Oryctolagus cuniculus: one gene and its partner. The protein of the gene in region 2 interacts with the protein of the main gene of each other region in a pairwise test. Links are inferred from orthologs where the notes say so. Each region holds a gene or a part of one and is shown on either strand. Other genes may lie near its edges. The genes, in order: ARMC8 and CTNNA1.

Evidence for each region.
Region 1: the proteins of CTNNA1 (region 2) and ARMC8 interact in a two-hybrid assay, tested with the Homo sapiens proteins (2 studies listed by BioGRID and IntAct). The link is inferred for Oryctolagus cuniculus from reciprocal best matches to the Homo sapiens genes CTNNA1 and ARMC8.

What each region holds. Positions count from the first base shown.
Region 1 is NC_091435.1:143,529,013-143,532,926, forward strand, and holds the start of ARMC8 (armadillo repeat-containing protein 8), read right to left. Parts: upstream 2,172-3,914; 5' UTR 1,901-2,171; coding exon 1,856-1,900; intron 1-1,855. UniProt on the Homo sapiens protein: Component of the CTLH E3 ubiquitin-protein ligase complex that selectively accepts ubiquitin from UBE2H and mediates ubiquitination and subsequent proteasomal degradation of the transcription factor HBP1.
Region 2 is NC_091437.1:26,683,079-26,686,132, reverse strand, and holds the end of CTNNA1 (catenin alpha-1), read right to left. Parts: intron 2,431-3,054; coding exon 2,296-2,430; intron 1,713-2,295; coding exon 1,425-1,712; 3' UTR 645-1,424; downstream 1-644. UniProt on the Homo sapiens protein: Associates with the cytoplasmic domain of a variety of cadherins. The association of catenins to cadherins produces a complex which is linked to the actin filament network, and which seems to be of primary importance for cadherins cell-adhesion properties.

The DNA of each region.
Region 1 (3,914 bases), on a different chromosome or scaffold from region 2:
CAGGGTAGTATTTGAAAAGGTACAGACTTCTCTGATTAGTAAGATCAGAAAGTTTAGATAGTTTAAATCACTTACCCAAAGCTCTGATTTCTCAAGGCTCTAGAGATGAAGAGTGGACAGACCAGATTCTGAAACTCTAAAAGAGCCCTTTTATAAAAATATGGCCCTATTGAGACGGGGCAGAAGCAAATCTTAACTATTAGTTGGAAATACTCTTCAAGCGGTTTTTGAATAAAAGTAAACAGGAAATATTTACTGAGGAAGTGAAACAAATTAAAAATCCCAACTGTATGCACTATACAAGTTGATCATTTACATAAAGAAGCTTCACCTGGCTCCTGGCTTCGCTAGGTGCAGCACAGGCCATAGCGGCCATTTGGGGAGTGAACCAACGTAAGGAAGACCTTTCTCTCTGTCTCTCTCTCTCTCTCTCTCTCACTGTCTATAACTCTACCTGTCAAATAAATAAGTAAATAAATAAAAAGAAGAAAAACTACATAAAGAAGCTTCATGTGAACTGAAGAAGTACTAATCTAAAGGAGATAATTAAAGGGGAATTGAGAACAGTCAAAATATTCACAGGTATTACAGTCTAGGTGCAGCAATGGGCTAACAGTATTTCCCTAGCTGTAGTGTAAATTAAAAACAAAAACAAAAACAAAAACCTGCTAAAACGGATCAGCCTCCAAAACTTTGACAGCCTCCAAAATTAACTGAAAAGTCTCCAAACACTGAAGAATCATTGTACTGTCAACTGCAGCCTTTTCGAAGATGCAGTGTGCCGCATGGCTCTAACCCGGACTCAAGCTAATGTTTTCCCAAAGGTGAGTGTGTTTGTGGGTGCAGTCTGGGAAAAGAAATCAGGTCTGCAGGAAAGTGACAGAGTGCCACTCAACCTTCCTCCACTGTGAAAGACGGGCAGTCTTTGCTTGCTTGTTTCCCACAGCGGATGAACCACTGGTGACCTGTCCGTTCTGAGTTGGACCACTGAAACATGTTGCAAAATGCTTCGAGGTTATCTACCAAAGACTGTCACTCCTAGTCCTGGTTCTTTCAAGAACAGCCTGTAACATAGTGAAAGATAAAAGTTATCTGTTTTACTTCAGAAAAAAAAAATGCGACTTCCTGGCATGTCGATGCGTTCCCTTCTCTCAAAAATGGGGAAATCTTATCTCCTTCAACGTTTGACTCCCCTTAAAGGAGAAAGGAATACAAGCGCAGGGAACTTAGTCTCAGAGCCCTCGCCTCCAGAGCCGAGCGGAGAAAGGGAGCTTAAATAACCACGGAACGCTAGCAAGAGTTGCAGCTAATAGAAAACCCACAACTGCCAAGATGCGAGCAGCCCCAGCAGGTGCCCGGGTGTGGGACGCGATAAAAAGCCACACCGACCTGGCCCGAGACTGTGGGGCCCTAAAAGCCTGCACCTCTCCCGCCCAAAGCCCCAGGGAGCCGAGTAGGCGCTCGTCCCCAGGCCGGCGGCAAACCCAGCGCCTCGCAGGGCAGAGCGCTCGGCCCCACAGAAGCCACACCGCTAAAACGAGCGTCCAGCGATACGCCTGCCGAAGCTCCGGCCGCGCCGCTGAGCCAGCTGCCCGCACTCCCCAGCAGCCCACTTGCCGGCCGCTGTCCAGGGAACGTGCGCTGGAGCGAGCTCCCAGAGTTGGAGACGTCTCCGGCTCGGCCGGGGTCCTGTCGACCCCATCCGCCCACCCCTCCGTCACTCCCCGGCCGAAGGCTGAGCAGGAGGCCACCCCAGGGGGTGGTGCCCGGGATCCACACCACGCTCGGAAGAATGCTACGGGCTGGGCTGGGCCGGGACTCCCGGGCGGGCGGCCGCAGCGGCTCACTCACTCACCGAGAGGACGCTCATGCGGATTGGGGTCTCTAACAGGCACGCCATCTTGAGCCTTCCCACCCGGCTGCTGCCGGCGCCGGCACGGGGGCCGGCACTTTCGACAGCCAACTGTTGGCCGCCAAAGGCACCTCTGCCGAAAGTCAGGCAAGGTACACAAGACTGGGCCACGCTCTGGACGCCGCTCGAGCACGGGAAGGACCCGCACAAAGGAGAGCAAAGGGGAGCGCGCCACGGCCCTCCTTGCGAATCGTCCTCTCAGAAACACCAGCTACTCTCCTTCTGGGTTAGAGGTGGGAGCCGGCGGCACTTCCCGCATGCGCAGGGAAGACCCGTTGGCCCCACCTGCCTCGCGCGGTGGGCGGGGCCTCGGGGGCGGAGTCTCGCTCTGCCGCTACAGGCTCCACCGACTGATAAATTGCAGTCCAGGGTTACGAGTGTTTCTGTTCCGAGAAGCTAGTAGGAGGAACCACGCTCATAGTTTGAAGTTCACGTGCACATTCATTATCCCTCTCTTTGCAACAAACTCCCCGCGCGGTTATTATCTCTACAGGCGGAGGAGGCGCGATCTCAGAACCAAATCTTCTGCCACCGAGAGTAATTGTTTCACACTGCAGCGCACCAAAGTGTGACCTGCTTTAACGTTGCGTGCTCGACCCATTTATTCTGGGGTAGTGTTAAGAATAGGTACTCCAGACCAGACCGCCTGGGTGTAGTCCTTGCCTTGGCTTATCAGCTGGCTGCATACCTCGGCAAGTTAACCATGTGTTTCGGTTGAATGTAGAAAGCATTATGCAGCATTATGTGCTAACATTTTCCCAGTCTCTAGGTGGGGAAACAATGGGGCAACTATCTTAGTATTTCATCCTGATACGCTCTGATAAGTGAAGCCAAATAAACACATGCTTCTAGTTATATGTTCTGATTAATTCTGCTCATATTCCAGTTGTGTGTGTGTGTGCGCACAACACCGACCTTGACTTGATGGGCAGGTTTCACCTTGGTGTTGCTCTCTGCCAGTGAGGTTTTCACAGGATGGTTTCAATGATCCTGTTACATTACTCTCTTCCTTCCATTTCTTTAGCCATTCTATAATGCAGGCTGTTCCTTCCTCCCCCACCCCATTAGAGCCAGAGTTCTACAATGGGTCTTGTGGCTGATAGCTTCTCTTCCACTTTGTTCCTCACTGTTTTGCTATCTTTCTCCTGTACTTGGATTCTAAATTTGTGGTCGCACATATCACCCTTGTTTAGGAGGAGTCTGTGTTACTTAGCACACTGTTGAGTTCCTGGGAGGCAGGAATTTCATTTTAGATATTCCTCTACTACCATAGTATTTCCCAAGCTTCATTAATCTGCAGACCACTTATGCTATTGTTGGGTGTTATCATTCACTCGGTATTTTTCTTTAAAGCCAATGTCAACTCATAAAAAAGATTTTATACTCATCCTCAATGAGAATACTCATGAAATCAAATGGGTTGTGCTCCTAATTTTTAATCTAGGGAACATTAACATAGATAACTACAAAAAAAGTTGAAATGTCCATCCATGCACTACCTAAAATCATGTCACATACTGTATACACAATGGGGTGGAGCTGAATCCTTACACACAGCATCCCAGCGGTACCTATCACATTTTCAGTTGACATTTATATGATACAATCATAGTTGTTTTATGCACATGCCATCCATTAATAAAAGCAATACATCTTCCAGGAAGACCCTCCCCTGAATATAGGTTTAGGTGACCCCCTCCCCATGCCTTCATGCATCCCTTTGTTCTTACCACTAACATAGCACCCCCAACTGTATACTGTAATTTGCAGGGATTTTGTGTGTATGTGTGTGATTGTTTACTTCATTATACATTTCAGGACAGGCACTAGGAATGGGATCTTCCTGGTCTTTTATCTCAGTTCCTAGCACAGTCACTTATTACATGTTTGAGTAGATTTGGCGCTTACCTTGAGCCTGGGACAAAGATGTGTGTACATGTTATTTAGGAAGTTCTTCCAGGGAACAAAATTGGTGGGTCAGGGAGAGTGAGAAAAGAAGCAA
Region 2 (3,054 bases):
TCAGGCCAGGCGACAGCGCAGACTCCATAAGCAGTAGACCCCGTGTGCACTTCAGTTGACTTTAGGCATCTGCCCTGAGCAATGGCAGCCGGGTGGTGCCAGCAGGGGGTGGGGTTAAGGGGAGGAAGAGAGCAGGGAAGAAGGCTTTGGTGTGTCCTGGGGGTGGTGGGGGCAGGGGTGGCGAGTGCAGTTTGGATGGGTCAAGTCTGAGAGACTCTCCCACAACCAAGTGGAACCTTAAGGCCATCAGGTTAAGCACCAAGTTCCAGGGTGAAGGCAGCATTGAGATGGGACTGGAAGCCGGCGGTGTGGCTGAGGTCCGAAGAGTGGAGACAGCCAAGGCTCAGCAACCAGAGAGAGGTGAGGGCTCTCTGGAGCCAGGAGTCCCAGAAGAGGATCGTTCAGCGAGATGAGCGGGCCCCAGGGGGATGGGGGTGTGTGTGGCAGGGAGACGCTCCGCTCCGGAGGCTCATTTCAAAGGCAGCTCTGCCGGGCGGGACTCCCAGCGTTCTGACTCGACAGACGGATCCCACGATCCCCGATGAGGGCTGGCAGGAGCCGGCCCTGGTGTCCCTCGGGGCAGAGATGTCGGCAGACTCACTGCTCCTCTCAAAGGCAGAGAACACAGCTTTGGCCAGTTGGTCTTGGTTTGAAAGTGGACTTTATTGGGGAATGTTAGTGTAAAAAATTCAAATTCATAAAATTTAAATAAGACAGTAAAATTAGACCTTGCAGCTTGAGTGATTGCTGTAGTAATCACAAATAGGGTAGAGACTAAATTACTGCCCAAGACAGGGAACACTGATGATCAGAAGTGAGCCAAGTGAGGAGCCTGCAGCTGGGAGAAAGGGCAGGAGCATGGTCCATGACAGCACCGCAACCTGCTAGCTGGAAAAGCAGCTTTCTGAAGCCCCACAGCAGAGTACGTTAGTAACTGTAACCATGCATGGAAACTCCCGTGTCACAGAGACTCGGTTACTCAGTTTCTGAGGGTCTGTCCCCCTGGAGACCTCCCGAGAACTTTCCTTGCCCAGGGACTGCTTCCTAAGATGCCCAGGTTGGTCCTCTTGTACCTGGGACTGCCGGGAGCCACTCTCGCCTGACCCAAGGCTGAGTCACGGATTCTTTTTGTCCAACAGTGGGCATCAGCATTTGGTCAAGAGCATCACTAACAAGTTAATGTCTCTTTGGTTATGGAATTTTTAAAATTTAAGCATATAAAAATATAGCTAGAAATATGCTCCTGAATTCTAAAAGCACTTTTGCCCAGCTGAAACACAAATATGTCTTTGCAAGGAACTGGCAGGGTTCAAAGTGTGCCTACATCCCTGTGGAATCTAATGTCAGTGTCTACTTAGCAAACCCGCTAGTGACCGAGCCCCAGGAGCTCTGAGGGCTGGGGGTGGCTGGCCCTGGCTTTGAACTTAGATGCTGTCCATGGCTTTGAACTCGCTGAGGGCCTGCACGGGGTTCACGTGCTTCTTCTGTGACGCCCGTTTAATCTTGGTCTGCGTCTCATCCTGCTTCTCTCTCTTCACCAAAGGCTTTTTCTCGGGGGCCTTCATCTTCCAGGACACAGCGGGAAGGTTCAGGGACGCCATTCCCTGAGACTTCTGGTACTTGGTGGAGGCCACGTAGGAGGCCTTCACCGTCTGCACCACGGCATTCATCAGATTCTTGGCTGCCTGGATCAGGGACATGGCGCTGTCCACCTGTGAGGCACAGAGGGCGGCGGTGAGCGGACGCGCGGGACCTGACCACAGCGTCCTCTCCCAGGCCAGGGCTTGAGCAGCAGCCCTCACCCAGGGAGTCCAGCCACCCCGGCACGGCGGCTCCCCTGGAGGAGGAAGGCAGCAGTGATGAAAACCCTCCTACCCGCTGGGGACCTGGGACTGACGAGAGAGGTCACCACTACAGACTGGGACGGACAGAGTCGGGCCATCACCCAGAACCACCCCCAAGCTGTCAGTCAGCACAGGGATCTCCCCCTCTCACTTAGAGACATGCACTCTGAATGGACAAGGGCAGGCACGGTGTCACCGAGGAGTGAATGGTACGGTGGGGGCTGCCATGGGACTCCTCTCCTACGGGGTACACAGCAGTGCAGGCCTGAGGGCGGGGCATGGGGGAGCTGAGCAAAAAGCCTGTGTCTATCTTGCAATTTCCAAACAGGCTTTACCCCTCTCACGGAGTGGGGGCGCTGTGCAGCTTGCGGCCGCCACGGGACTGGGGCTTCTGTACAGCACCCGGCGTCAGCAGCTCCCCCGGGGCCTTCCTCACTTAGAGATCACTCACCCCAGAGACGACGAGCTCTCCGCCGAGGTTCTGCACCTCGGCCTTGACCTTGCTGCAGATGTTGAGCTGGTGGCAGTAGAGGGCGATGCGCTGCAGGTAGGCCAGCAGGTCCTGCTTGCAGGCCGAGTCTGGGCACTGTGGGAGAGGGAGCTCAGGACCAAGCACGCCAGGCCCGGGCCCCCCACCGCCCCCACTCCACGCTACTGCTTAAGGGCAGTGAGGCACCAGCCCACTTCCACGCCCTGCTAGAGCCAAGAGCAGGGAGGTGAACCTGTCAGCAGCCCTGGTCTCTCCGTGCTCACATGAGGCATGCTGGCGCCTTTCAGAATGTTTGTGGAGAAACAAGTTTATTCTGGTTCACTGCGCCACTCCCCCTCCCCCCAAAAAACACATGTACCATCTTTTCATATGTGTTTTCCACAAACACTCTGAAGACTCTCTGTATGCATGGCATTTTGTGGGGGCGGGAGGAGAAGCACCAAATCGGCTCATCTTCTAGTTACATTTCTTTCCCACAACACCTTCTGAAGTCCCCTCCCGCCTCCAGCAGCCTCTGCTCACTAACTCTGCAGCAGCAGGGAGCCTGTGGCCAGAGAAAGCCGTGGCAAACGACATCTGGCCACGAGAAAAGGAGACGCTCGCCGTAGACAAAGGGGAAGATGGTAAGCCAACCAAAGTGAGACAGCGCTGACACGCAAGGACCTGGCCAGCCACAGGGAGAAGGGCAGCCCCTGCCCAGGGCCCATCTTGCTGCCCACT